2 linked regions of the Arabidopsis thaliana genome follow. The protein of the gene in region 2 purifies or fractionates together with the protein of the main gene of each other region. This does not show direct contact. Each region holds a gene or a part of one and is shown on either strand. Other genes may lie near its edges. The genes, in order: PRK and GAPA-2.

The links.
Region 1: the proteins of GAPA-2 (region 2) and PRK fractionate together in Arabidopsis thaliana (co-fractionation; one large-scale study listed by BioGRID). This does not show direct contact.

What each region holds. Positions count from the first base shown.
Region 1 is NC_003070.9:11,522,826-11,538,958, reverse strand, and holds PRK (phosphoribulokinase), read right to left. Parts: upstream 6,761-16,133; 5' UTR 6,292-6,760; coding exon 5,768-6,291; intron 5,500-5,767; coding exon 5,415-5,499; intron 5,315-5,414; coding exon 5,230-5,314; intron 5,150-5,229; coding exon 4,905-5,149; intron 4,802-4,904; coding exon 4,553-4,801; 3' UTR 4,320-4,552; downstream 1-4,319. Other genes in the region: LrgB (uncharacterized protein), read left to right, coding at 6-267, 356-471, 572-681, 762-939, 1,009-1,138, 1,237-1,387; NSI (nuclear shuttle interacting), read left to right, coding at 2,670-2,710, 2,782-2,858, 2,966-3,026, 3,103-3,301, 3,390-3,501, 3,619-3,734, 3,841-3,934, 4,032-4,108; SCAMP5 (SCAMP family protein), read right to left, coding at 7,985-8,017, 8,119-8,184, 8,267-8,315, 8,572-8,639, 8,723-8,768, 8,855-8,948, 9,058-9,120, 9,219-9,341 and 4 more.
Region 2 is NC_003070.9:4,386,126-4,401,879, reverse strand, and holds GAPA-2 (glyceraldehyde 3-phosphate dehydrogenase A subunit 2), read left to right. Parts: upstream 1-7,425; 5' UTR 7,426-7,470; coding exon 7,471-7,638; intron 7,639-7,731; coding exon 7,732-7,836; intron 7,837-7,983; exon of another isoform or gene 7,984-8,029; coding exon 8,030-8,334; coding exon of another isoform or gene 8,335-8,338; intron 8,339-8,411; coding exon 8,412-8,656; intron 8,657-8,743; coding exon 8,744-9,246; 3' UTR 9,247-9,442; downstream 9,443-15,754. Other genes in the region: AT1G12930 (ARM repeat superfamily protein), read left to right, coding at 1-101, 185-264, 441-576, 684-833, 1,138-1,223, 1,517-1,704, 1,874-1,966, 2,145-2,332 and 4 more; ERF1-2 (eukaryotic release factor 1-2), read left to right, coding at 4,021-5,325; ATAN11 (Transducin/WD40 repeat-like superfamily protein), read left to right, coding at 5,726-6,766; AT1G12890 (Integrase-type DNA-binding superfamily protein), read right to left, coding at 9,487-10,146; NUDT12 (nudix hydrolase homolog 12), read right to left, coding at 10,834-11,016, 11,099-11,248, 11,340-11,423, 11,506-11,629, 11,774-11,844; AT1G12870 (F-box and associated interaction domains-containing protein), read left to right, coding at 12,770-13,912, 14,644-14,751; SCRM2 (basic helix-loop-helix (bHLH) DNA-binding superfamily protein), read right to left, coding at 15,488-15,571, 15,691-15,754.

The sequences.
Region 1 (16,133 bases), 7.1 Mb from region 2:
TATAGCCGGTGGATGGTTGGCGTCACTTTGTGTAGCAGGGTACACAGCTATTGCAGTGAGAAAAATGGTGAAAACCGAAATGACGGAAGCCGAGCCTATGGCAAAACCATCACCATTTTCAACACTTGAGCTATGGAGTTGGAGTGGAATCTTTGTTGTGTCGTTTGTTGGTGCTCTGTTTTACCCTAATTCATTGGGGACAAGTGCAAGAACTTCTCTCCCTTTCCTTCTTTCTTCAACTGTGCTAGGTTACATTGTAGGTTCTGGGTAATATTCAAAAACCCTTCTTTGTTCTCCATCTTTAAGCCTCTCTATCTCGCGGTTATTCTCAGTGTCTTATCTTTCTTTCTTCCAGGTTGCCATCTTCTATTAAGAAAGTTTTCCATCCGATAATCTGCTGCGCGCTATCTGCAGTACTTGCTGCTCTAGCTTTTGGGTATGCTTCAGGATCTGGACTTGATCCTGTTTTAGGTAAAGTTACCTTCACTATGAAAGAAACTATAGAGAAACCCTTTTTTGACCTAAAACAGAAAGTAAAAGCATTTTGTTAACTGCTCTTTAATGGTGACAGGAAACTACCTTACCAAAGTAGCATCAGATCCTGGTGCTGGTGACATCTTAATGGGTTTTCTTGGCTCTGTCATTCTCTCTTTCGCTTTCTCCATGTTCAAACAAAGAAAGGTAAAACAAACAACAAACTTGTTCTGTTTTGCTTTAGAAAACTGGTAACAATCGCTTTGGTTTGCCTCTGTCTTCTTCAGCTCGTGAAGAGGCACGCAGCTGAGATCTTCACATCTGTGATAGTTTCAACGGTATTCTCGCTCTACTCCACTGCTCTTGTTGGACGTTTAGTCGGTTTAGAACCTTCTTTAACGGTTTCAATCCTACCTCGCTGCATCACGGTTGCATTGGCCCTTAGCATTGTATCACTCTTTGAAGGTATATATGTTTCTTCTTCTTCTCAACACATTAAAGAACATCCCTAACGAATTTGTTGGACATTTTCAGGGACCAATTCGTCTCTTACAGCAGCTGTAGTCGTTGTGACTGGTCTGATTGGAGCTAACTTTGTACAAGTTGTTCTTGACAAACTGCGTTTACGTGATCCAATTGCTCGGGGAATTGCAACTGCTTCAAGGTGACTCCATTACAAAAGATCTTTCACATTTTGAATTAAAATTATGCATTAATGCCATTAGGATCAAAAGACATGACCTTTCTATTTTTTATGGACAGTGCTCATGGACTTGGAACAGCAGCTTTGTCGGCTAAGGAGCCAGAGGCTCTTCCCTTTTGTGCAATAGCTTATGCTCTTACCGGAATCTTCGGATCGTTACTGTGTTCTGTTCCTGCCGTCCGACAGAGTTTGCTAGCGGTCGTCGGCTGAGGATTGATGATGTGGCGAAACACGATTGATGGTCTCAAAGCTGGCGAGTTACTTAAAATATGAGAGCAGTTTGCTTTGGATGTCAAATAAGCTTGTATTAATGAAAAAGATGATGGAAAATGTTTATTTATTTTATTTTATATATGTAAATGTTGTGAGATTTGTACAACATACATAAATTTTATATAGGAGTAGGATGTCCCAGCTTTCCAAAAATTTGTCACAAAGGTATATTGTCTCCATTTGAGGAAGATGAGATTTGTCGATGAAAACTTCGTCCTCTAGTTGAGTTTGTTACGTTGACTAGACAATAATTGCTCATATAGTAATAGCAGGTTGAAGATTCATTTGATGGAGTTAATGTTGAAGGCCAAATGAGGAGAAACAATAGATTCAGCAACATATCCTCGAAGGCCGTTAGTCGTGGACTTGGCGAAGGCGCTAGCAATTGGCTGAGACTGAGACGCTAGTTGTTAATGAAGAAAGTTTCACATTGGAAGTTGGGGTTAGTATCAAGTAGTATATAAAGAGTTAGAGTCACTCTACTTATTGCCAATTGATTTTAGGTTGGAATGTCATGTTAAGCCCAAATCTATCACTGGAAGTACCTCATAGCACCAATGATCAGTTTTGATAGCAGCTTCATACTTGCAATCCCAACCAATAGTGATCTATGAAGTATATTAAGAAATGTTAGAAACAAATATTCTAAAGCTTCCACGGCTCTTTATTTGCTTTGAATGATTATTTTAATAATTTGATTATTAGAACCAAAGTATGTTAAAAATTTAAGATTTTATGAAAATGGATAAATTTAAGATTATTTTGAATAGTCATTTATATATATATATATATATATATATATATAAATTGCTAACCGATCCAGGAAAAACAAAACCGAAACAAAACTGGTTGCGAAAATCTTATAAAATGATAATAGATTTTGATATGCTGGTAAATTTACATTTCACTTTTCTTAAAATGTGAATATAAATATTTTAATTTAGAAATTTATGTATTCTTTATTTTTCTTTTCTGTCAAACAGAAAAATCTGTCTTCAATTTCATCTTGTATGTGATAAAAAAAAATTATAAGAAGTCCCCAGTAACAATCCTTTACAAACAAATTGATGAATTCAACAAAAATAAGGGAGAGGGCAAAAGCGTAAATAACAAAAGTCGATGACGAGGGCCAAAGCCCCAATGGAAGGTGTTAAGCTAAACTCTCTTCTTGTCTGATATTTCTTCTACTCTCAAGTCTCAACCACATAACCAATAAAAAATGCTACTAATCCCAATTTCTTCTTCTTCGTCTTCGTCTATGTAAGTTTCCTCCTTTTTAACATTCAAATTCTCATCTCTTAACCATATTACTAACATCGTCTTTGTTGTAGTAGCCCTCCTCCTAATTCATATCCATCGAATCATCACTCTCTGTTTTTCTCCAATCTCACATTCCCAATTCAACATGGTACTTATCCTTCATCAATCTGTTGACTTTTTTTTTCAATTTCACAATTCAAATTCGAAGATTTGGGTCTTCGTATCAAGAGTTGAGATTACAATTCTGTTCTTCAGGAAGTAGAAAGTTGAAGACTTTGCGACTCAGAGCCAATTTCTGGGAGTCAATCCGATCTGGGTACTGAAAAAGCTTCATACTTTACTTACTCATATGAGAAATTAGGGGCTGATACTATAACACACCATTGTTGCAGGTTTGTGAAGAATAATAATAGTACGCAACTTGTGGAACCACCTTCTATAGTCAATGATGAAGAAGAAGAGACTGAGCCATTGTTACCTGTGGAATTTACTTTAGTTGAGAGAAATCTTGAAGATGGTTTAGTTGAAGAGATCATATTTTCTTCTGGTGGTGAGATTGATGTTTATGATCTTCAAGGTCTTTGTGATAAGGTAGTTTAAAACACTACTCCTGTGCTCTGTTTATGCTTGATGATACTTCAAAAACTCTCATTTATGGTTATCTTATGGGAAAATATAGGTGGGATGGCCAAGGAGACCGTTAGTGAAACTAGCTGCTGCTTTGAAGAATAGTTATATGGTTGCTACTTTGCATTCTGTAATGAAGTCATCATCAGATTCAGATTCATCAGGTGCTTATAACTAAGTATAACACTTTTCTTGACTCACTATAAGCAATGTGTATATATATACAAAGAGGATGTTTTGATGAACATCTTAGCGGATTTTGGAGAAGTTATTTGACACAGAAGGCGGGGATGGGGAGAAGCAGCAGGAGAAGAAGCTTATTGGTATGGCACGTGCGACGTCGGATCATGCCTTTAATGCTACAATTTGGGATGTTCTTGTTGATCCTGAATATCAGGTTAATCAAAACAAATGATATGGTTTTTGCATTTAGTTTTTGCTTGCCAATATAAATGCTTTGTGTTTGATGTTAATTGGTGTTTGTGTTTGTTTTCACGTTTCAGGGTCAAGGGCTAGGTAAAGCTCTTGTTGAAAAACTTGTAAGGGCTCTTCTTCAAAGAGATATTGGTAACATATCTCTGTTTGCAGATAGTCAAGGTAAAACATCGAATCACTGTTTAATCTGCAATTTTTGTGGTCAAAATATTTGGATTTGTTCTTACTTAGTTGTTGAATCTGTGTTCCTTTTTTGTAGTTGTGGATTTCTATCAGAACTTGGGGTTTGAGGCTGATCCAGAAGGCATCAAAGGCATGTTTTGGTACCCAAAGTAGTACTTGGTGATTGCAAGAAAATGGGATTGTTACTTGTATGTATAATTTCTTTGCTTTCTTATATGGAATCTATAAGGAAGTTTGAACTGTGTAATTTGTAATCCAAAAGCTATTTGACATTCAAGTATTCAACATGAGTATGATCAATAGGATAAAACTGTTCTTTCTTTTGCTTAGTTGATTTGTGGTTTGAATCTACTTTGATGCTGTAAAGAACAAATTTTGAAGGCGTTCTATAAACTGAACTGTTATTGCTCTGCTATTCACTTCTCTACATTACAGGCTTTTTCTTTTTATCTCCACACAAATTACAAACAAGCAAGACCGTCCTTTTCGCCATGAAAATCCGCGGTAAACAACGCATAAAGAAAGAAAGAAATAAGAAAAAGAAGAAACTGCGGATGTATTTATCGACGCGTTCTATTTGGCTTCGCTTCGTTTGTTTTAGGCTTTAGCTTCTGCACGAGCAGTGGCTTTGTTGGCAATGAGCTGCTCATAGAGATCTCTGATCTTCAATCCAACAATGGTTTGGAAAAGACCAGTACCGTTGTTGCTACCCGGGAAATCAGCATGTTTGAGCATTTGTTGAGTGACTTCTCCGTAGAATTTGGTCGAGAGGTTGCTCAAGTGACTTTCCACGTAAATCAGCTCGTCCAGTCTATCAAATTGTCCATCCATCTCCAAAACTGATACCTGAGAGAAACAAAAAGGGAGATATATGCAATGAGTCTAAATTCTCATACACATGCATTTTCATTCATTTCTCACAATATGTCATTATGCAATATGAATGTACCTCATGGTCGAAGTAGGAGTCAGGTTCGTAGTTGAACTTGATGCCAGGGTACGAGCAAGTGAGTTTGCGGCCGCAAGGAATCCACGAGATGGTTGAACCTTCATCGAACAGGTAAACCGGGCTGAAGTACTTAACACCTTCCTTCATTATCAATCTCACTCTCAACACTTTCCCTTCGTTGTCATCTGGGATCAGAGTCGTAGGAAGCACTTCTATGACCGCATCCGCGTACTGCTTTTGCGGGTCTGTATAAGCCATTGAAAATATTATAAACTGATCAAGCCGAATATGACACGGGGTTACATCAAGAAATTAGGAGTGTTACCGATGAATGCATCGAAGTCGGGCTTTCGGGCTTCGATACTCGCTTTGATGCTCTCCAAACTGTGACCTCTTTCAGCCATGTCCCTCTGTGACCATCAAAAACGTTACAGATTCAGTTTTATAAGATAAACCGAAAACGTTCCACAAAATGGTGTAAATGTAGTTGAATTATTCAAAGAAATTCACCTGAATTTTCCAAGCGAATTTGACTTCGTTGCTAATGTCCAAGTAGATACTGAAGTCTAGTAAGTCTCTTACTCGCTCATCAAACCTTCACAAGTAGATAAATATTATTATAAAACATTACAAGTACCAAAACTATAGACTTAATTATTCGAATAAAAATTAATCGGTGTCACACACTACATGCATAGATTCAAAGATCCATCTTTAATTATTCTGATACTGATTCTAGTATAAATCTAAGTCCAGATTCTTAATCATCGAAATTCCGACAAGATAAGAGACTTCCAAACTCTAAAATTTGAGTATGTCTAAGATACAAAACAGAGTATCATAACAGAGTATGTGTAGCTTACATTGGGTGAAGACCTTCGATGACAAGAATCTTAGGAGGCTGAATAAGCTCCGGAGGGTCAAGAAGTCCAGTGACATGGTTATAAATCGGTTTCTCGACGGCTATACCATTCTTAAGAGCTTTGACTTGCTCATACATGAGATCAAAGTCATTGGCGCGTGGGTCCAAAGCGGTGACTTTCTGCTCTTTCCTACCGTACCTATCCAAAGAATGGTAATCATCAAGACAGATCACAGTGGTCGTGTCGCTGATGAGTGTGTTGGAATCAGGGTTCCCGCCTTTTGGTGGCTTAGCAGCGCCACCAAAGACGCTGGTGAGCCTCCGCATAAAGGTACTTTTGCCGCAGCCAGAGTCAGCAGCTAGTCCGATCACGATGGTTTCTTGTGCGCAAGTGATGAGTGTGTTGAATCTACGGTTGGTTTGTGGTTGACGACGGTAGAGGAAGACTTGTTTGGAGGAGGAAGAAGAGGTTAAGAAATGAGTTGAATTGAGAGCTTGTGTTGAGTAGATAGTTGAGACAGCCATTGTTGTTTGTTTGGTGTTTTGGTCTCCTCTTCTTCTCCGCCTAAGCTCTTTTTTTTTTGTTTAGCTTTGTGAGCTCAGGTTGAGTGATGAGGATTTAGGATAGAATGAAAGAAATGTGGGTAACGATTTTTGATTTTATGGTTTTTTGTGTGGTGATATAGAGATGTGATTTTTTTTTTTTTTGAAAATAAGATTAAATGGGGAAAGAGAGAAATGAGAGGAGGACAATGGGTCTATAGGAAAAACAGATGGCAATTTGCAGAGAAGAAAAGGAGTTTTATTTTGTTTTGTTTTGGTTTAATGTGGTTGTGTGATGATTGGCTCATGTTTTGGTTTCTTGAAGTAAAATTGTTTGTAATGTTGATTAGTCTCTATGTTAAGATGTTGTTGATAAGATAAGAGGATAAGAAAACATTTATAGCCATTAAAAAACCAAAGATCATATCTTATTTACTTCATGAAGTAATAAACTTATGGTAATTTTGTTTGATTTTTTTGGCTAAAAGATAATTTGGAGAATAGAGTTTGGGAGAGGAGTGGAGTTGCCGATGAAGTGATAAAACTAACAGGGCATGGAGGGAGACGTTGCTTGGTGGTTATTTGCTTATTTTTTTGGGATTTGGATATTTGAATTGACACGTGGGAGATTCTAATTGGACAGATGGGGATTAGGTGTTTAAGGTCTGAAGATGAAGGAGAGAGTATTATGTGGGTCACATTTACACGTCACCGTATATCCCCCCTTGGCTTCGAATCTTTATGGTCTTTGAACAACTTACCTTTTTATGCTTTTATTTTTTTCTATAGGGATCAAAGCCTTCTTGCGTTACCTTAACAATGGGCTTCAAGCCTACCAATTAATAAAGACACCAAGAGTTTTTTTTTTTTTTTTTTTTTTGTGAACAGATACCAGAAGTTTATTACTCATGAATTTCACCGTAGGGTAATTAGTAAAAGAGATTACATCGGGATTAAAAAAACAAAACCATGGTTTATTTATCGACCGCGATAGAGTCGGCACTAGTTGCTTATTCTTGGACACATTGAACGTAGTCTCCACCAACCACCATACAACTTCCATGTCAAGCATGAAACTATAACGGGTCAGAGAATTTGTTAGGTTAAAAAGTAAAAACTATGGACTCACATTAAATCTTTCCAAAAAAATTACTTTAATCTCTTTTGAGTTTTGACTCATGGAGTTTGCAAATGAAAAAAAGTTCTTATTTTGCTCAACAGAAGAATTTAACGAAGTTTTATCTCTCTCGAGTCATGGTGTTTGCAAAAAAAAAAATTCATAAAGTTCACGGCCATATCGAAACATCTATACTTTGTTATACGCAATGATAATCAGAAGGACCAGATTCTAAGATTCAGACCGAAGAGAGTCGCTACTAATAATTCATAGCTATGATTTTTTTTTGTCTAAATAGTCCATCCACTTCGCCGAAAAAAAATCCCAAAAGCTAAGAGACGATATTGGTATATTACAGACCAGAGAAGAACAGAGTAAAAAACATAAAGAAATGGCCGAACAACCACTCTCTCTTGCTACTATAGTAACTAAAGAATTTACCTCAATCAACACAACGCATCAAACGGTAAAATGGTAATTACATTCATAGGAGATACACATATTTCAGACCTTATATCGTAAGGGAAAATTACCATCATCTTCCTCTTTATCTCCTTTTCACTTGTTTCCCCTAAAGTAGAGGTAAATTTTCTGCAAAGCCAAAATGGGAAACCAGATCAATCAAATGTTTACTGGTTTCATCAACGTCAACAGTTTTGAAGAAGCCATGAAAAGTATGATCAGAGGCTTACCTGAAGAACCCATAGACTCAGCAGTGACTCCAAGCAGAAGAGACCGAATCCGATAAAGTAGAAGATCTGCCATCATTCATTAGGGTTAGACACATTGAATATATTATAGGCGTCGTCATGAAATGTAAAATAGGTGTATAGCTCATACCCCAGCTAATAAACTGTCTGAGATGACATCAATTGCTGCAAGCACACCCCTGTTGATCGAAATAAGAGAAAGGGTTTTTAAGTTAATCTCAAGGCAACAAAACATACAGAGGTGAATCACAGCTAGATTCTCACTTCTACTTGTAGTCATAATCCTCATTATTTTGTAACAACTGAATATTAATAAACCTTTCAGAACAATTTAGAACTTTCCAATTGAAGCCCTCACCAGACTAACCAACTACATATGAAGTAAGAGTACACTCAAACGCAAGTAGAAACGTAGGCTATTATTGGAAGACTTACGTTAATGATTTTCCATGGAAAAAGATTGGAGGGGCGATGGCAGCAACGATGCAGAAGCCAATGTGAATCTGTAAGGAGCTCAGGTCAATCATGTGGAAAATGGAAGTATATCTACTTAAAGGTAAGATATAAATAGGTTTTATGAACTCACCAAGTAGGTGAAGAAAAACCAACCAAACTTCAAAGCACTGTCAGTCCTGCAAGGCCGTAAAATGTATTTCAATTATATCGCCTGTAATTGTACTTATACAAATGGAAGAGAACCAGTGAGCAGGAATATTACCTCATGGCTCGGTAGAGTGGCCTGTACCATAGTACATAAGAGAGTGGACATCCGATCAATGCATATATTGTGGCCAGGAAAAAGATTTTAACACCTATCATTGATATTTTAAAACCACCATTAGTTGAACCAAATCCAATCAAAATTCTCATAAAAAAAGTTACCTTCATAATATAAAACATTGTAATATAGTGTAGGCTCACCTCCGCCTTTAATCCAGCAGACCATCGTTGCAATGACATTGAATACCAGACACAGAACGATACCTGAAATTTTAATAGTCGAACAGTCAAATACAAGCCCAACAATTCAACACATTAGATACACGTGATAAAAAAAGACAGAAAAACAAGATTAGCCTTACCTAACCAACTAGCGAAAGCCAGATACTGCAGCTTTTGTGCATGAACTGGTATCTCTTTAGCAATGTCATGGTGTATGATTGGGAAAAACGGTGGCCAGTTTTTATCATCTATCTGCACACCAACTGCAACACAATTAAACGACTATGGTTAGTTATCATCCACCACGAAATTTGAAGAGATAGTTCAAAGAAAGTCAAAACTAGTGAATAATATTGTCATCAAGTTGTCATCTGCTTACATTTAGCAATAGCTTCCTCTCTTCGCTTTATATCCTGGGTGAAATTACACAAAAGAACATCAATCAGTAGAAAATTAAGAAGCACATTGACGATATATTTGACAAAGTCCTATAAATAGTACAAACCATTTCTTTCTTCCTGAGCTCAGCTTCCCAGTCAGCAAGCTTTCTCTGTTTCTGTGAAGAGTCCTGCATCAATTAAACACACATGTTAGATAAATCCAAGTTAGAAAGGTTCAAGAGTTTAGAAGATATTGATGTCATTACATTCATATTATCCAATGGAATATCAACAGTAGCATCAAGGCTTTGACCATATTCAACTGGCCTAGATGCAGCAGGAACCCTTCCACCACCTTTCTGCAAAATTTATCAAAAGTTACTAAAATTCAAAAAACTATCAAACGTCAAGCACCAATAACACAAAGAATCAATCAACAATGAGTTTGATTCTCCAAAACTAAACGAATGAGTCACACTCCAAATTGGAAGAAATTACTCACAAACACTATTCATTTCTAGAAATTTTTTAACCTAGTTTCCAGATCCACAGATATAAGTTCAGTATTCCGAATAAACATCGAGAGATCCATAATCTCAACACTGTTAATATCATTTTCAAATAGAAATGAACCTTCCGTAATCAAAATGACATTACACAGTTCTCAGTCCTCAGTTTCTGCTATTTTCCATTTGCACAAAACTAAATAAAAACTCAACAAGTGAGAGATCTAGATTCCACTACCGTCGCGAACACACAAAATCCAACTAGAGAAAAAAACGAAAAGAAATCGAAGATTCAGGGAGAAAGAGAAAACGTTACCGAAAAAGGATTGACGATTTCTTCGTCCTCATCGAAAGGATTGGGATCGTGGTGGCGATTCATTGTTTGTTAGAGATCCTAGAATAACGATACTGATAGATTTGCCTCCTATAAGATCGCCGGGATCCGGCGAGAGGTGAAAAGAAAGAGAGAAGAAAAAAAAAGAGAGCACCGACTCCACTGTGAAAGCAAACTGATATGGTTGGACTCTCTTTTTCTTCTTTTTCTCTCCCACACGAAACGCGGAATTTGGAACTATTGGTATTTTGACGAAACTAACCCTAAGAAGTATATGGGCCGTTTTGGTTATTTGTTTCGGGCTTTAAAGTAGGCCCGACTCATTCTTTTATTATATACACGATTAGGGTTCGAAAACTTAGAAAGAAAAAACACATGATTTTATGCTATAAAGTATAAATTACTACTAATACATTAACCTGATGCTCGGAATCTCAAGCTACGTTTAAACTACTATACTTGAGAGATCTGGTCCGTAAGATTTGCGTCCCCTGGACGCTTAATCTCCACCATGCAAATGACCTCTACTAAAAAGACATACATAACAGCAAAGAACCAAACAAGCCATAGAGGGGCAACGATGAGAGTGAAGATGGGAGAAACAATGGAGATGAGCATGAGAGCTGCAAGAGCCCCAAAAAGATGGCTGATGTGTCCAACGAAGTGATGGATCGGAGCTTGGTTTCTATTGAGCTTTACTTCAGTGACTCGGAGGACGACGTAGATCAGAATAAAGACACAGAAAGAGAGGATAGTGGCTTGACGATCTGCAGTATTGGTTGAAGCTGAGGAATTCTCTGTGATCTGCAGCAAACCGATGGCTCCGCCGTTGATAACAGCGATAAGCTTGTGTACTGCGGAGGAATGATCAGTGTTTTCATCGCCGGAGTTAGAAATTAGGGTACTGTGTACCGGACTACCGGAGGAAGACATCTATATTGTTGGTGGGTTTTTTTTCTTCGGATCTCGAAGTTTTTGTATTTATAGGGGCAAAAGAGGAAACAACGAGGAAGCTTCGAGCCCAGTTTTTAAAAAAGTGGCGGACCTCATCTAAGTCAATTTATGAACTCATTCTATTTAATAAATTGAATGGTTGAGTTAGTCAATTTATAAACTCATTTTATTTATTCGATAGATTGAATGGTTAAATGAATAACTCATTTAAGTAATAATTTAATTAATAATTACTATCAAACAATAATCAATAATTTTCATTATTATTATTATTAAAATTGAAAATTTAATTCATAATTTTCGAAGAGAAAATTATGGATTTACATTTTGGATGGAATATTTTTTTAGCGAACAAATTAGGGGTTTACGTTTTTGGCAAAAATTTAGGGATTTACGTTTTTGACGAGAAAATTACGAGTTTACGTTTTTTGGCGGAAAAAGTACGGATTTACGTTTATGGCGAGAAAATTATGTTTTTGACCGAAATTAATATATGCTATCAAAATTGATATTTAATAAATAGTTGCTATCAAAATTAAAATTCAATTAATTTAATTAACAGAAATTAATATCAAACCAAAAATGTAATTAATTTTATTTTTAAATGTTTAAAAATATGTTTTATATTTTAATTATCAAAAATAAAAGATGGTTTAATTAAATGTTTTTTACAGTTATTTAAATAAATTTTGAATATTGAAACTAATTTCGAATTCAAACATATTAATTCAATATTTATAATGTTATATATATATATATATAAAGTAGGTTTGTTAGATTTGATTAAGAAATGTTTTAAAAAATATCTGATTGGATTAGTAATCTTGTAGAATATAATAAATACTATAAATCTCTATGACATAGGAATATAATTAGTTTTCTAATTTGAAAAATCTACGTAATTATGAATCTACATATATATTTTTGCAGCCATTTTATGAAATAAATCCTCAAATTGAAATTTATTTACAAGGAATGCCATTGACATTAATTATTTTCAATTAATTAATATTCCTAATTAATAGCATTTCCTTATCTAATATATCTCAATCAATTCTAATTACTTAAAAAAGAAAAATCTTAGGACATTATTAATATACTTGATTAAAAGATCAAATATTATAGTTAATTAAACATTTAAAATATTTAACGGAATAAACGTTTAGAATATTTATAATATGTGAAATCTATAAAAATTAAATAATCATTTGAAAAAAACTTTTAAATTGATTTAAATTATAATTTTTTTAATTAAAGTATTATTTTAAACAAAAAACAAAAAAATAATTTTTAATTTCACCGAACGGGATTAGATGGTAGGACGGGTTTATAATATTTATAATATATGAACTTTTAAACAATTAAATAACCATTTGAAATAAAAACTTTAAATTGATTTAAATTATATATCTTTTCAATTAAAGTATTTTTAAAACAAAAATAACAAAATAATGTTTAATTTCATTGAACGGAGTTAGATGGTAAGACGGATTTCGATCGATAAAATACTAGACGCTATACCACGGGTGAAATCCATTAGATATGTTTAATTTCACTGAACGGGATTAGATGATATGATGGGTTTGGGTCGATAGTAATACGAGACGGTATACCATAGGTGAAATCCTAAATATAAAAATCAAAATACAATTATATTATCTTATACACTAAAAAAAAAAAACTATATTAATAAAATAAATATAATTAAAATTTAAATTATTTAGTTATAATATAGATTTTAACTTAATGAACTGTATGTTATTCATCCTATATTTTTAAACAGTAAAAATTAAATATAGTAATTGTACACTAAATAATATGTAGATATAAGAGTTGTACATTTAGAAAATACAGAAAAATTAAATTCTATATATGTTAAATACTCTAAACAAGTTAAATTTTTATTTTTTAAAAAAGATATAACCCCGCGGTATACCGTAGGTTAAAATCTAGTGCTATTGAATAAAAGAATAAATAATTGGAAATAATTAAAGATTTTCTTCCCAAAATTTTTGTTGTAGGATTAGATCTTTATTGGAAAAAACGGCTATTTGTAATTGTAATGAATGACTTATATTGGAACTTATAATCTGATATTTTTAAAACCGGCTCAAAAATAATCTCGTGTTTCTAAACATGTATTTTTCATGAAATTTTTTTTTTAACTCAAGGACATTCTTGTAAATATCTGCAAACTTTCTACCCATTTGAATAAATGTACTTCAATAGTATTAGATTGATTGTCTATGATTTTTATCTCATTTGATAAAAGTCTGCACACTGATAATAAACCGTTATTTCCCTTTAACAACAAAAAGATAATAAACCGTCATTTGCATGCAATTTGTAATCACCCCCGCCCTTCGTCAAGTGTATTTATAACCTTTTTTTTTTTTTATAACCTTTGTAAGTCATAGTAACCTTCATGAATGCTGCCAAAAAAGAGGAAAAACGGACAGAAGAGAGTCCTGCTACCGAAAAAAAAGTGCATAATATTGGATTCAGACTCGATGAACAAGAAAAATAGAAGTAGTGGTTTTTCTTCACGTTTTATTGAATAGGTCAAAGATTATACGTGTATATATATATATATATATATTTTTTACTTACGTTGTATTGTCGTTGTCGTCATTATCATAAACACATCATAATAATATCTTAATCTCGTGTCTAGTTTTAACTGCATAACTAAATCTGAGATTTTCATAATCATGAGTTTAAATTCTATATGGTGGTGTTTGTTTTGGATTATTTGGTTGAGATCAATTGTTAATATAATTTGATGTTAATATATTATTATTAAACGATAAAATAAATCATAGAAAAAATATTGGAAAATAATTTGCTATTTAGATAAATAATTAAATTCAATTTTAAAATAATCATTATATATTTTAATTTTTAATATTAAAATTTAATTAGTTAACTTGATGAAAGGTTTAGTTTACTATATATACTCACATGCTTTTTTTGGCAGCGTTAATTAAATGCGCATGCATGGGAAGCGAGACGCCGATTTTGAAATGATTATATATAATTATTATATATTAGTAATGTTGATGTAAAATATAGGAAAAGAGGGCGTTATGACAATGAATTCGGCATTTTTATGTGTGTGAAAGAATATCGATTGTCCACCCAAAAGTTTGTTTCAAATAAGAATTATTTATCATGTATAAGAATAATTTATATTTCCTCCGTTCTTATTTAGTTGATATTTTAGAAGAATGCGCATAAATTAAAAAATTATTTAATTTTGTTTATTTTTAAACTAAAACATTATTTATTATTTAATCAACTAATAAAAAAATAATTTACAGAATAAAAATCATCAGAACTAATAAAAATAGAATTAGTTTTGCATTGAAAATTTAAAACATCATATATTTAAGAACAAAAATAAAAGCTTATAACATCATTTATAAAAGTACGGAAGGAGTACTTAAAAAAATGAAAAAACCCCAATAAAGTAAGCAACAAAATGAGAAAGAGAACGAAATTATAATCACCTTCGCGGTCATTAATTCGAAGATGACGGAGAGATAAACTGGAGTACAACACAAACAAGACCAAGACATTATGTGTATTAACCAGCTTTCAAGAATTAAGCAATACAATCATTATATGAATCAGCCTACAAAACGCCAAACAATGTCAAAAAACCAAGCAAACTATTAATGAGGCAATTCGTCAAACACCTAGAGGGCATTATCATAACTTCGGCCAAAAGCTTCTAAGAAATCAGTCTAGCCTAAATCGATCAACTCAACCCTACAAAATCAAATCCAAGTGTTCGTAAATCTGACCCATAACAAAATTGTACTAGCGGATGAAAACGAGAAGGATAAAGTGGGAGGAGGCTGACACAATTGAATGGCAAAGAACCGGGCGTCGAAGATAGTTTGGGGTTTCAGGCCAACAAAGTCAAAAGCGAGAAATAATTTAAGAAGAAGAAGAAGAATATGGAGATGAGAGCGAGAGTGACAAAGATAGAAATTACTAAAATCCAATAGATCAAGGGTATTATAATCATAGGAAAAGAGAGTGAAGAGGTAAAAAAGAGCTAGGAGAAGAGAATAATCTAGGAAGAAAAAAAGAATAGGGATCAAAGAGGTAAAAGAGAAAAAGAGGAAGAAGATATATAAAAATTAGGGTTTCATTTTTAATTTGAGAGTTTTTTTTTCTTTTTTTTTGGCTAAGTGTTGGCGGTCTGGACAAAAGTTTCGATGAATATCGGTGGTGTGAAATAATTTTATTTGAGGCTCTGTTAATATAGGGCTTAGAATTTTTGAAATACTATAATATAGTTACCAAAATTCGAATATCATCATTAATAGCAGTTACAAAAATGTGTTATTGTAAATTTTGAACCAAACAAATTATAACGTTTACATATTCATAAATACTATCCAAAATATAAGGCTAAATCTAATATAGTAAAACCACACCAATTATTATATTTTAATGCTAAAAATACTAATTATTCTTGTAGAATTAAACCGAAAAAAGAATTCAATGAGTCGGTATATTTCGGCGTAGAGAATACGAAAGGACAAACAAATGAATATGTTTTTTAGAGAAGAAAGAATATTAGTCGGTTATAGAGATCGATGGCTTTAGATAGTTGTGACGTGCAACAAGATACTTGCCTAGATTAATTATCTTCATATTATTTGAGTTTGTTGTAGAACAGAATAATAATTTTTCATGAGAGTAGAATTGAACATTTGAGTTTTAGTAATATGTAGTTTTAGAAGTATTTACATATATATTTTTGCAGCCATTTTAACAAATAAATTTTTAAGTTGGAACTTATTTACAAAAAATACTATTGGCATTAATTATTATCAATTAATTAATATTCTTAATTATTAGCATTTC
Region 2 (15,754 bases):
TTTTGCAAGAGGGAGAGGCCTTTGATTTTGCATTGATCATGCAATTGGTTTCTGCATTTTCCGTTAGGCCGTCCAGCGAGCTCAAGGGGTTTATATCTGTTGTATGTCAGTTCATACCTTTGCCTCACCAACAATTTTCTTGTACTGTAAATGCAGTCAATATTTGACAATAATCAACTATTAGGTATACAGATCACTGGCAGATGTTGTTGGCTCCTATTCAAGATGGATCTCTGTTTTTCCAAGTAACGCCAGACCGTTGCTGTAAGTCTAGTTTCTTCAATGACCGTTCACAATAATGCAATAATTTTTTTAGCATATTAGCTTGAAACTGTTCATATTTATTTCTTTTTTCTGATGCTATTTTTCAATCTTGTGTAAGGATGTTCAACATCAATTTCTCTGATAACATAAGTGCTGCATGGTCTTTCTGGTTTCAGATTATTTCTCGCAGGAGGGATTTCCGAACCTATTTGTTCACATGCTTGTGCTTCTGCTCTGCGTAAAATTTGTGAGGATGCTCCTGCTGTAATCCAGGAAACATCGAATTTAGATATCTTAATGTGGATAGGAGAGGTATCAGCTTAATCAGACCCTTTTTTTAACTGTCAAAGCAAACTTCAAATTACGCTGAAATTATATCCTGAATCATTATATTTATATATATTTTTTACTTTTCTTAGTGTTTGGAGCAGTGGGATTTGACCTTGGAAGATGAAGAAGAAGTCATTACCGCTATCACTGTGATCCTTGGCTCTGTTGCTAATAAAGAGCTACAAAATAAATTATTAACTCAATTGCTTTCGTCAAGTTATGGAGTTCTTTCGAAACTTGTAAGTGTTTATATTGTTCAGTTAGAAAGAGTTATTCTTCAAGGTTCTCCTTCTCATTCTTTTTCTTGTACAAGTAGCTCTTTGCTTTTGCTCTGCATTAATGAAAAAATAATCAGCTAATTGTCCACATACTTCTCTGAGGCCAGTATTCATCAATATCTCAGCTAGTAACTAGAAAAATAAATAGATAGTACAGAAATGATACCTGGAAGATGATCTTTTTCTTTCTGGGATTATTTTCTAATGTTTCCGTGCCTTGATGCACTTCTGAGATAGATTTGGACTAATACCTTTGTGGTTTTAGGTAGATGAAGACGCTGAGTCTTCTGGTAGACAAAGTCCAGCCACTTATACACGAATGCTGAGCTCTGTTACAAGAGGTCTTTACAGGTCTGCTTCTGTGACTGATCTATTTTCTATCCTGCTTAATTGCGATGTAATCTAGGAGCTTTTTGGTGAACTTTTTGCTGCGTCCGGACTTCAAGACATCTATAAATAACATTGTCATAATTTTGTGTTATATATATTTTTCTGGTAACCGGGCGCAAAATAGATTTAATGACTCTGATCAATCCATGGTCTTTAGTAGCTTGCACTCTCTGGTAGTTTTCTTTTGAGGTGTACTCAAATTTGGGAAGAATATCATATTGATGACTTTGCTCTTCACTCGTTTCATGAATCAGGATAGGAACTGTATTCAGTCACCTTGCAACGTCTCTGCCATCTGTTCCTGTGGCAGATGGTCCAATCCTTTCTTTGTTGACTGTTTTCTGGCCCATTTTGGAGAAGCTATTTAGGTCTGAACACATGGAGAGTGGTAGTTTAGCTGCAGCAGCATGCCGTGCTCTTTCAGTGGCAGTTCAGTCGTCAGGTTTCAAACTTCTCATCTCCCTATTTTATTCCGCTACATTCGACTCGTTGTGCCTTTATTAGCCTGGAACATTTCTTTATTCCAAAGCGTCCTTTACACCTGTGAAAATTTCTTGTTTTCGCACAGTAGGCAGGTTTCACTAACATGTGAAAATTTGCATTATTCACAGGTGAGCACTTTATGCTGTTACTACCTAGTGTACTGGATTGTCTATCGAGAAACTTTCTGTCATTCCAAAGCCAAGAATGTTACATAAGAACAGGTGAGGGTTTCTTAATTCAGGTACAGGCTCCACTTTTGGAGAAAAATCTTTTGAGATGCTAGCGTTGATTCATTTGTCACAGTTTTTATTGGCGAGCTTGGATAAATTATTTCCCAAACTTAGTTTATTGACCAGCCAGTTGTCTGAACTTCACCTTTTCACGAACTTGTTATCACAGCCTGTGTAATCGCCGAAGAATTTTGTCATAAGGAGGAATATGGGTCCTTATTTATCACTACGTTTGAAAGATTTACTCAAGCATCATCACTGATGGGCATAAATTCTTCATATATATGCGACCAAGAACCCGATTTGGTGGAAGCGTATGTGAATTTCGCATCAGCACTTATCCGTAGTTGTCATAAGGTTTGCAACCACTCTTTGCTTGTTAAAGTATAACTTTCAGTTCATAATTTCTTAAGGAGTCTTGGGGTGAATTTATATTGATCAAACAGGAGTTGTTGGGTACTTCTGGAACACTTCTTGAAATTTCTTTCCACAAAGCGGCTATATGTTGTACAGCTATGCACAGAGGCGCTGCTTTAGCTGCAATGTCATACTTATCAGGTAAGGTTGCAGTGGTTTACAAACGAAAACAGCATTAATTTTTGGTTATAAGCATACTTAACACAATGTTTTCGAACTTTATAGGTTTCTTGGAGGTTTCACTTTCTTCCATGATCGAAACCGTGAATAGCATATCAGATGGATCATTCAGCGTGGTCTCTGTCCAGGTCGTATCTCACTGTGGAGAGGGACTTTTGTCTAATCTGGTCTATGCTCTACTTGGAGTTGCAGCTATGTCAAGGGTAAGATTTTTGAGTAAGATCTCTCAAAAAGTAGTTGATGGATTATGATATTTGATTCTGTTTTTGTTTTAGGTCCATAAGTGTTCAACGATACTGCAACAATTAGCTGCAATCTGCAGTTTATGTGAGAGGACTTCATGGAAAGGAATGTTGTGTTGGAAATCTCTCCAAGGATGGCTAAACTCAGCGGTTTCTCTCTTTCTCTTGTGATCACATCAACACCAAACTCCGCCTCTGTGTTGTTTATTCTAATGGCTTTTTTTTGTTTGTTTGTATTCAGGTTTGGGCACTTCCGAGCGAGTATCTAAAGCAAGGAGAAGCAGAAAGCATAGTGAGGGAATGGTCAGAAGCTCTAGGAGGTGCAGGGATCGATTATCTTGAGAACAAAAGCTGCAATTTTGGAAGCAATAACAGTTCAGGAGGACATATGCAAGGGAAACACGGTCGAACATTGAAGCGATTAGTGAGAGATTTTGCGGATTCTCATCGAAACGATCCAAATCCAAACATCATATGAATAAATCAATCGATAAACTTTTTTTTTTTGTAATGTTTATTTTATTTTGTTGCCTTAATAATGAGGGCAATGATCCATCATCTTCTTCATTTCTGTCGATGCTCTGTTTCTAATGTACAGTAGGAGAGGAAAAGAAACCTCATGAAGAATCTTGAGCCATTTCTTTTAGATTCATCTGATGAGAAGGATAATAATATACATCCCATTGTTAACATTTAACTCTCATTTATTTATTTTGAATCTATGAGGCAAACCAATAAACGGCACGCAGTTTGAAGGCGTCTTGGTAATGTAGACTACAGCCAGTTCCACTTTTCACGTAATTGGGCCTTTTGAGTTAAGATAAAGCCCATTAGCTCGCTTTCCATGTGGTTTGCCACGTGAGTATCACGTGATTGGGTTGGGAGTTAGAATTTGGGGAAAACCCTAGGCCAGTCAATTCTGGGAGGAGAGAGGCCGCCGGAGGAGAGAGAAAAAGAGGTACGAGCTTACGTTTTGCTTGCTCGATTTCAATCTCTCTGCATAATGGATTCAATCTGTTCATCGTAATCGTTTATTCAAAAGTTTCGATCTTTACTTCACTTGAAACCAAAATTCGTAGTGTTGTGTCCGAAATTCACGCTGTTCAAAGTACTCATTTTTGAAACTTGATTTTGTTCTTCTTGTGTAGTTGGGGGATTGCTTTTTGATTTCTCCTTCTCCATCTTCGACCTCGAGAGAAGCTAAAAATGGCAGAAGAAGCGGATACGAACATCGAGATCTGGAAGATTAAGAAACTAATCAAGGGACTTGAATCAGCTAGAGGTAATGGAACGAGTATGATCTCTCTTATTATGCCTCCTCGTGATCAAGTATCTCGTGTCACAAAGATGCTTGGTGATGAATATGGAACTGCTTCAAACATTAAGAGTCGAGTCAATCGTCAATCTGTTTTGTCTGCCATTACTTCTGCTCAACAAAGGTTGAAGCTTTACAACAAGGTTCCTACTAATGGTCTTGTTCTCTATACCGGCACCATTGTTAATGATGACGGTAAAGAGAAGAAGGTGACGTTTGATTTCGAGCCCTTTAGGCCGATTAATGCTTCCTTGTACCTTTGTGACAACAAGTTCCATACTGAGGCATTGAACGAGCTTCTTGAGTCTGATGACAAGTTTGGTTTCATTGTTATGGATGGTAATGGGACACTGTTTGGAACTTTGAGTGGGAATACTAGAGAGGTTCTTCATAAGTTTACTGTTGATCTCCCGAAGAAGCACGGAAGAGGAGGACAGTCTGCACTTCGTTTTGCCCGTCTTAGGATGGAGAAGAGACACAATTATGTTAGGAAAACCGCTGAGCTTGCTACACAGTTTTACATCAATCCAGCTACGAGTCAGCCTAATGTCTCTGGTCTGATCCTTGCTGGTTCAGCTGATTTCAAAACTGAGCTCAGTCAATCAGAGTTGTTTGATCCTCGTCTTCAAGCTAAGATATTGAATGTTGTTGATGTTTCTTACGGAGGTGAAAACGGTTTCAACCAAGCGATTGAGCTGTCTGCTGAGATTCTATCCAATGTGAAGTTCATACAGGAGAAGAAACTGATTGGGAAGTACTTTGAGGAGATAAGTCAAGATACCGGGAAATACGTTTTCGGTGTGGAGGATACTCTAAAGGCTCTAGAAATGGGTGCTATCGAAACCCTTATCGTGTGGGAGAATCTGGACATAAACAGGTATGAGCTAAAGAACAGTACGACAGGAGAAATGGTGGTGAAACACTTTGGGAAAGATCAAGAGTCTGATACAAGCAACTTCCATGATTCAGAGACTAACGCGGAGCTAGAAGTACAGGAGAAGATGCCTCTACTCGAATGGTTTGCAAATGAGTACAAACGTTTCGGCTGCACTCTTGAGTTTGTGACTAACAAATCCCAAGAAGGGTCACAGTTTTGCAGAGGTTTTGGTGGGATTGGTGGTATGTTACGTTACCAGCTTGACATGAGGACATTTGATGAGTTATCAGATACTGAAGTTTACGAAGATTCTGATTAAAGTGGGAAAACTTTTGGTGATGGTTTCAGATCGATACAGTGAGGGAAAATGTGGCATAAAGATGGTCTTTTATCAACAAAGAAGAGAGATTTAAGTTTCTTGTTTTCTATAGAACATTAAAAAGCTTGACTCTTTCTTTCTGTTAGACAATTTGTGTTGTAATTTTTGAGGATTTTAAACATCTTTTTGTTGTTCTTCTGGTTTTATATTTTCCGAGAAAATCATTGGTGAAGAAGAGACGGAGATAACGATGTTAGCCATGTTACTCTGTTTTCCTTAAACGGTGTCGTTTTCGTCAATTATTAAAATAAACTGGATGACTGGAATATCCATTTGCTTTTGAGCGAGTGATAGAAGCGGAGGCGATTTTCTAGGGTTTTTGCTCGGAATCGATTTCACGATGGGAACGAGCAGCGATCCGATTCAAGATGGTTCCGATGAGCAGCAGAAGCGATCAGAGATCTATACATACGAAGCGCCATGGCACATCTACGCAATGAATTGGAGCGTTCGTCGCGATAAGAAGTATCGTCTCGCCATCACTAGCCTCCTCGAGCAATACCCGAACCGTGTCGAGATTGTGCAGCTCGATGAATCCAATGGTGAGATCCGTTCCGATCCTAACCTCTCCTTTGAGCATCCTTATCCACCAACGAAGACCATTTTCATACCTGACAAGGAATGCCAAAGACCTGATCTTCTCGCTACTTCAAGTGATTTCCTTCGTTTATGGAGAATCGCTGATGATCATTCCCGTGTTGAGCTCAAATCTTGTCTCAATAGCAATAAGAACAGTGAGTTTTGTGGTCCTCTTACTTCTTTTGATTGGAATGAAGCTGAGCCACGTCGAATTGGAACATCTAGTACTGATACGACTTGTACTATCTGGGACATTGAGCGTGAAGCTGTTGATACTCAGCTTATTGCTCATGATAAGGAAGTTTTTGATATTGCTTGGGGTGGTGTTGGTGTTTTTGCATCTGTTTCAGCTGATGGCTCCGTTAGGGTGTTTGATCTTCGTGATAAGGAACATTCGACGATTATCTATGAGAGCTCCGAGCCTGATACTCCTTTAGTGCGTCTTGGTTGGAACAAACAGGATCCTAGGTACATGGCTACTATTATCATGGACAGTGCTAAAGTTGTGGTGCTTGACATTCGTTTTCCGGCTCTTCCTGTGGTTGAGCTTCAACGACATCAAGCTAGTGTCAATGCCATTGCTTGGGCTCCTCATAGCTCTTGTCACATTTGTACTGCTGGAGATGATTCTCAAGCTTTGATTTGGGATATTTCATCCATGGGACAGCATGTTGAAGGTGGTCTTGACCCTATTCTAGCTTACACTGCTGGTGCTGAGATTGAGCAGCTTCAGTGGTCCTCTTCTCAGCCTGATTGGGTCGCAATTGCTTTCTCTACTAAGCTGCAAATTCTCAGGGTTTGATCTTTTCAAAGAATTTCTCATCTCTTGTCAGATTAGATTTTACTCATTTTCTATCGTATTAGGGGTCTCGTTACCCTTGTTACTATCCTCAAGATGTAAAGACTGTTCTCAATCGAATTAATGAATCTGTTTGATCTTGTTGCTATACTCAAGATGCAAAGCTTAGCACTGACTCTTATTGATGTATGATTGATAAGAAAGGATAATCCTTTGATCTAGATTTTTGCTTCATTGCTTTTTCTCTCGTAGCACAATCTTTGCAGTATGATCCATGGGAAGTGTGTACCTCAATTGTGGATGATTAGGTTTAGTTTTGTATTTGATTAGAGCTATGGACTGCTAGAGTTAGTTACACCTCTCAGTACCTATTGTATTTCTTGGAATAGCTTTCTATAAAGTCAATGCGCAAAACAAAAAGGTACAGAGACATAATGACACATCTTTCTTTGAGATTACAAAGACAAAATGTGTAATCTTTTAAATGGCTAAGAAGGAGCAAGAAGGGTCACACTTCTTAATGTGTCAGTGATTTTCATCTGCAGCATAGAGATGTCAGAAAAGCTATGTCGTCGAGTCACTAGATCAAATGTGACCACATGATGGAGAAGCCCATCCACTTGTGAAGCCCAAGTGAGAAAATCAAAAATATGTGTGAATCATAGAAAACGTGAAGAGGGAAGAGAGATAAAACCACAACCATACAAATGAATGACAAAGCTATCCAGAATCTCATCTTCTTTGCCTCCAACTCAGCAATTCATATTTTCCTATATTACAACTCTCTGCCTCTTCTGCTTACATCATACAACAAGCTTCTCTCTCTGGTAGCCATGGCTTCGGCTACTTTCTCTGTGGCCAAACCATCTCTTCAGGTTTTGTTTCATCTTCCTAACCACATTATCTGATTGCCCTTCACACAAGTTTTATCATCATCTCATAAATACTCTCATGTTTTACTTTTTCAGGGTTTTTCTGAGTTCTCAGGACTTCGAAACTCCTCTGCTCTTCCCTTTGCCAAGAGATCTTCTTCCGATGAGTTTGTTTCCTTCGTCAGTTTCCAAACTTCTGCAGTGAGTTCCTTTTTCACCCACTCCTCTCTATTGCTCCTGTGTTATATATCTTATGGTGCAATCTTGTAAACTCAAGAGCTGTTTCTTGTGTCTAATGCCACCATTGTAGATCTATCCATGATGAACAAGGCTGCATGGCATGATCAGCCATGATTAACCATATACGTTTTTTTTTTCTGTCTCTGTGTTGTAGATGAGAAGCAATGGTGGATACAGGAAAGGGGTGACCGAGGCCAAGATAAAGGTAGCCATCAATGGGTTCGGTAGGATTGGTAGGAACTTCTTGAGGTGTTGGCATGGTCGTAAGGACTCTCCTCTTGATGTCGTTGTCATTAACGACACTGGTGGTGTTAAACAAGCATCACATCTCCTCAAATACGACTCAACTCTTGGAATCTTTGACGCTGATGTCAAACCTTCAGGAGACTCAGCTCTCTCTGTTGATGGAAAGATCATCAAGATTGTATCTGATCGTAACCCATCTAATCTCCCCTGGGGGTAAGTTAAAACAACACTTCTCATATCATTTGAATTGAATCAACCCAGTTAGATCTAAACCTGGTGATGATGTTTAGGGAACTAGGCATTGACTTAGTTATCGAAGGAACCGGAGTGTTTGTTGACAGAGACGGTGCTGGGAAGCACCTTCAGGCTGGAGCCAAGAAGGTTCTTATCACTGCACCTGGAAAAGGTGACATCCCAACTTATGTCGTTGGTGTCAATGCTGAACTTTACAGCCATGAAGATACGATCATCAGCAATGCGTCTTGTACTACTAACTGTCTCGCTCCATTCGTCAAGGTTCTTGACCAGAAATTTGGTAAGCGTCTCATTGAAAGTCAAATGTTGCTATGTTGCAATCTTGTAAAAATCTGAGTAATATTGTGTTGTGTGTTAAACTTGTTAGGGATCATAAAGGGTACAATGACAACTACTCACTCATACACTGGTGACCAAAGGTTGTTAGATGCGAGCCACCGTGATCTAAGGAGAGCAAGAGCAGCAGCTTTGAACATTGTTCCAACATCTACAGGAGCAGCCAAAGCTGTGGCTCTTGTGCTTCCTAACCTCAAAGGAAAACTTAACGGAATTGCATTGCGTGTGCCAACTCCAAACGTTTCAGTGGTTGACTTAGTCGTGCAAGTCTCCAAGAAAACTTTTGCTGAAGAAGTCAATGCTGCTTTCAGAGATGCAGCTGAGAAAGAGCTTAAAGGTATCCTTGACGTCTGTGATGAGCCTCTTGTCTCTGTTGACTTCAGGTGCTCTGATGTATCCTCCACTATTGATTCTTCCCTCACAATGGTTATGGGAGATGATATGGTTAAAGTGATTGCTTGGTATGACAATGAATGGGGTTACTCACAGAGAGTCGTTGATTTGGCTGACATTGTTGCCAATAACTGGAAGTGAAGACTCAACAACCTCTTGATGTCTGCTCCATTATTTTTTACTGTTACATGATTCGGAATGTATAATTGTAGTTCCTGAGTTTATTATGTATTTGTGCTCTATAATTTATAGTAATAAACTTGATTCAAACATATTACATCCTCTGCTTAATACACAACTCTGGTTTGGGAATGCATTTGACACTAAAGAAAGATACAATACTTTTTATATTACATAAATTGAAGGATCGGTAATACAAGCTCACATAAGAAACTGTGGAGCATCGTCGTTGACATCTTTGAGAAAACTCTGAAGATAATTCCCAATGTAGTCATACTCAAAGCAGAGAGGTTCGTCGCTGAGAACTGAGCCAAACTTCATATGGTCTGCATTGTCATGTTCACCGACTTTGTCCTGATGACCGAATAAACTGTTTGACATATCATTAGGTAAAGAAATCTCTTTGCTTTGGCCAACATGATCACCATCATTATAACAATGTGAGAAAGTGTTAGTGAGATTGGTAGAAGACTCTTGTTTTTGAGAAAAAGAAGAAGAGATAGGATCAGCAACAAAATGGTTGTTTTCAAAAGGCTGATCTTGAAGAAGACAGAGACTAGAAGATCCCCAAGTCATATGAGGCTCCAAAGACTGTTGTGGATGTCTTTCTAAAGAGGTGTTTTCAGTGTAGAAGAAGTTTGTTGTAGCTAGAGAGCCGCTGATGGATCGAGCAGCAACGTCATATGCAAAAGCAGCTTCTTCGGCTGTATCAAACGTTCCAAGCCAATGTCTTTCTTTAGTAAAAGGGTTTCTGATTTCAGCTGCATATCTTCCCCATGGACGTCTCCTCACTCCAAGGTACTTCCCTTCTTGTAACTTCTTCTCTTCTTTGCTTTTTCTCTTGTTACTTGATTTCAACATGTTCACAATATTCAGAGATCAATGTTTCTCTCTCTTTAAGTCTCTTGAGCTTTGAGGTTCCTTATGCTGCTATATAAACTCTATATTGAGTAAGAAGAGCAAAAGAGTGTGTGAACTTGATTGATGCCTTTTTGGATTTGGCATTAAATTTAAGGAAACTGTTGGGAGTTCAAAAATTTAACTCCAAAGACTTATTTCTCCTTCGTAAACTGTGTCAGCAGAAACAAGGAAGTGTTTCATATTTTCTCTATTTTTGTCCTTTTGCTTAATATTTTCCACACTTTAGTCTGTGAGGTGATTCATATTAAGGAATGTATGGAGCAAAGCCAAGTTGTGACAAGGACATTGTCATTATAGACTCAGACAAAAACTGTACAAATGTCAAGAAACCTAACTAAACATGTGACATAAGCTTAGGGATTTGGATTCTTAAGTGTATTCAGTTGATTTTGAAGTCAAGCCTTAAGCATTGATTTGTGTGTGATTAGGTAATTTCTTCTATGTCCTTTGTCTTTTTGCATTTGGTGTCCCAATTGCATATAAAGACAACTCTATCTTTATCACTTCAAACAGACAGATATCAAGATTCAAGACAGATGATTTGAGATTATATCATGTCACATGTGTTGCAGTCACTTTACTTCTCATTTTTTCAATTTGTTTACGTTAGCTAAAGAATATGAAAAACTAGTTAACTACAAAACAGTACCAAGGATCTATTTGACTCTCCTCCTCTAGCTTTGAAGAATCATGCACTGTCTCTTCCTCTGTTCTCAATCTTCTTTCATCTTCCATTACTCTCAAAAACTCTTCAAGTGCTCTCTGCATCCACTCATACCGACAAAGCTCCAACGCTTCTTTAACAGTCAACTGCACATTTTCGAGTAATCTCAGAGTTAAAACATTGTACTTACTTATATGAATAACTACACATTTGAATCTTAAGCTTTACCCATCTTCGTTCACGATTCTTTCGCTCTGGCCAATCCTCGAGTTCTTCGGTAACTTTTAATGCAAACATATATCCTTTACATCCACCTAAACATTCATCCTCCACTGTGCTACTTTTGCTTCTAAATTCCCAAACTCCTAAAGGAAGTTCCTATAAACAAAAACATGACCAAAACACATCTAATTCAAAAAACTTTAAAATAGCTTTCTTAGTGTTTTGTTTAATAAAGGTGTAAACTTACTCTAAGTATTCCTTTAACTCCTGCTTCTTCAATGGCTTCACGAGAAGCAGCTTCAAGAACAGTCTCATCATCTTCCCATCCTCCCTGATAATAATATACACAACAAATTAACATGAGCAATTACAAATGATAGTACAGAGGATGATTTTTCAATTCAAAAAAAGACCTTTGGGAAGACAAGATCATGACGATTAGGAGATGAAACCATAAGAACTTCAAGTTTGTTTACAAAGTCAACACCTGAGTCTTCTTCAGTTTCGTCAGCTTTCATCAGCCTATAAGGAATGCATCTGTTCATAATGTATAGAGAAACAAACAACAAGAAAATCAACAATTTTGTTTTCTGATTTTTGGGGTTTCTTGAAAATTTTCAAGATTTGCAAGAAACAAAAAAACAAAACAAAATGATTTTTTGTTGTGTAAGTTGTTGGTACCCAGAAACGAGACGGAAGTTGTTGTCGTAACGTTGACGATCTCGTCCTGTCCGAGAAGAAAGAACCGACATTTGATGAATCTGCCAACACAAAAAAAATCAAAAGGGATTGAGACAACAGAAACAGAGAATGCTACTTTCTTGAAAAGCCCTGTTCTTGTTTGTATGAAACATGTTGATCATAGCCTAGCTTTTATGACGAATCCATATTCTTGTTTTGAAAATAAACAAATTTTCCAGAATTAACGAATCTCAAAAGTCACAAAAAAATAAAATCGTTTATATGAATTTTTTTGTTTGTTAAATAACTTGCTATTTTTGCGGAGAAGAATGAGGAGTTGTACCAACGAGCATTCACTGCTAACTATCACCTGTCTCTCTATATAATCAGTTTTAATATTTATACATGAAAATAAATAAATTATTTTTGTTAGAGCTCAAAAACAAGAAGAACCTTAAGAACGCAAATTCGAAGCAAGTCACTAAAAGGATCTGATTCTGTATTTGACTTATTACTGTTTTATCTCACGAGTATTCTCCACTATAGAGAAGAACTATTCGATAATTGATTCTATAAAACTTATCTTGAGACGTGTTTTAAACAAGACTGCTGAAAACCGAATTCATATAGGTTCAAACTTTCAATTCGTTTCTAGTGTCTTTTTTTTTTTTTTTTGTTGGGTCTTGGTTTTAGTTTTAGCCAATCAGAATTGTTTGTTAGCAAATCTTGTATTTTTTTCGTTTTTGCTAAAATCACTCAAATTAGAGAATAAATAAATTGTTTCTGAAAAAAATGTATTTCCATTTCCTTAGTCGAAATTGGCTTTTATTTCCTTTTCTATTATTTTAATTTAAACATAAATTTTGTGGGATGATAAACTTCCTTTTTCATAACCGGCTAATCCTTATCAATCCTTAACAGAGTAGAATTTGGAGATAAGTGTGTGTATAAAAAGACAAAACCAATTCACTCGTATCAATAAGAAGAAGAAAAACAATGGTCATGGATGAAGAAAAGCAAGCGATTGTATCATCATCATCATCATCACAAAGAAAGAGAAGATACAAGAAGCTAATGATTGCATCATCATCATTACCAGACGATGTCGTAGAAGAAATCTTCTTGAAACTTCCGGTCAAAGCCCTAATGAGATTTAAGTCTCTCTCAAAACAATGGAGATCGACGCTCGAGTCTTGCTATTTCTCACAGAGGCACTTGAAAATAGCCGAGCGATCACATGTGGATCATCCAAAAGTCATGATCATCACTGAAAAATGGAATCCAGACATAGAGATTAGTTTTAGGACTATCTCTTTGGAATCAGTTAGTTTTTTATCCTCTGCTCTTTTCAATTTCCCTCGCGGATTCCATCATCCCATCTACGCTTCTGAAAGCTGTGACGGAATTTTCTGCATTCATTCCCCAAAAACACAAGACATATATGTAGTTAATCCAGCAACACGTTGGTTCCGACAACTTCCTCCGGCTAGGTTTCAGATCTTTATGCACAAGTTAAACCCCACTCTAGATACTTTGAGAGACATGATACCAGTCAATCATCTAGCATTCGTGAAGGCCACTGATTACAAATTAGTGTGGTTGTATAACTCTGATGCCTCGAGAGTTACTAAGTGCGAGGTTTTTGATTTTAAGGCAAACGCTTGGAGATACTTGACTTGCATACCAAGTTATCGAATATATCATGACCAAAAGCCAGCATCTGCAAACGGGACGCTTTATTGGTTCACGGAAACATATAATGCAGAAATCAAAGTAATAGCTTTGGATATTCACACCGAAATATTTCGGTTGCTGCCTAAGCCTAGCCTTATTGCTAGTTCAGAGCCTAGCCATATTGACATGTGCATTATAGATAATAGTTTGTGCATGTACGAAACAGAAGGGGATAAGAAGATCATCCAAGAGATTTGGAGGTTGAAATCATCGGAAGACGCATGGGAGAAGATTTATACCATAAATCTGCTTTCTTCTTCTTATTGCCATTTCCATGTTCTCGATGGATATAATTTGACCAGATTATGTTATTGGACCCAAAAGGATTTGGTTGAGTCATCCACACCGGTGGCGATATACAAGGACAAGAAGATCATACTCTCACATCGCTATACCTGCAATCTGGTAAATTCCCAAACAGGATCTCTTTGCTCATTTTTCAGACAATTTTTGTGTTTAAGATCTGTTCCTTATTTTCCAAGTTTGATTTCTCATATTTAAATAAAATACTACTAATTATTTTGATGCGTTTTGAAGCATGAAAGAAAGAACTCATTGTATTTTTTACCGATTATGTGTGTTTTTATTTTTGCTTCCATTATACGTTTGTTGTTATTTAGAATGAACGAGGCTACACTTATATATCTTTTAGACATCAAAATCAAGACAAAGTTCAAAAAGCCTACTCATCATATCCAAAGATTCAAAATTTGCCTAGCAATTGCTCTTCTTGAGCTCATTGCAGAAAGTCAATGACATTAAGTTGATTACATATTTGAAATCTCTCTTTTGTTGGATCATATTATCACCTCATGTTTTTGGACATGTTGATTATCCAACAATGAACATGATTAAAATCATTAACCATCAGATATTCTTAAGGTGTTGCAAATGCATCAAGAAAAGCTTTGCTCATGAATTATGATTTCTCACTTCCCTATCTAGTAAACGACGTTGTAGAGGAAATCTTCTTGAGACTTCCTGTGAAATCACTAATTCGACTAAAGTCTCTCTCAAAACAATAGAGATGGATGCAAATTATACAAATAAGTGTGGTTTTATAATTCTAATGCGTCTCATTCTGATGCCACGAGTCCAAACGAAGGACTTACCAAGTGTGAGGTTTTTGATTTTAGGGTAAACGCTTGGAGGTACTTGAATTGCACGCCAAGTTATCGAATATACCATGCCCAAAAGCCAGCATCTGTAAACGGGACGCTTTATTGGTTCACAGAGCTATATAATGCTGAAATCAAAGTAATAGTTTTCGATATCATTACAGAAAAATTCCGGTTGCTGCCAAAGATAGTTCCCGCTATTGCTAGTTTAGATCCTAGCCATATATACACTCTGGATAATGCTTTGTGCATGTCGAAAAGAGAAGGAGATAAGCTGATCCAAAATATTTGGAGGCTGAAGAAATCATCAGAAGACACATGGGAGAAGATTTATACCATAGATTTTCTTTTAATTCTTACCAATTAGCCAAGTTTATCTGGTTCCATTATGTTTTTGTCTTTAACATCTTCAGTCGCCCACGGCACAAACCAAATCTTACTAAACTGAACCAAGCTCAGACATTTATAAAGAATATGAATTTTACATAGAGATTCATCTCTGTTCTGAAAAATTGATATATCAGAGCGTTTGCCTATGAATTGTGCATTTCTTAATATTTTGTTTAGCCTTTTCTCATGACAGACTCATGTGTGTTTTATCAATGAAAATCAACATTGCTCTCTTCTTGCAAACAACATATAAATGAAAAGCAAAGTAGAATTATTGAGAAACAATGGCATTTTGCTCAAAGGTTGCAACTATTGTTCCCCAAACACATGTTCTCATAGCTAAAATAAAACAGTTATCATCTTCCATACATGATTGAAATTGATGAAACTAAGTAAGAAAATTGCTGACTAAAACAGAACAAGGACTTAGATCTAGCTCTGTTCCACACAGATGCTTCCTTCTGCTTCGCAATCAAACCAAACCAGCGTAACCTGCTGTATCTAAAAGCACTGCTTTGATTTGTTCAGGTAACACGTCATGGTCTTCTTGACATTGCTGATTAGAAACACAAAACATGTTGTTACTTGTATACTAATCATTCTCTCAAATAACTATTCTTTGACTGCTAGTTTTACTAATCAGTGATCAGCATAGCATCTTAACAACTATATTACCTCAGCGCGGAAAACATCCAAAGCAAAACCATTGAAACAGCTAATCACCGCTTGTTGAACATCC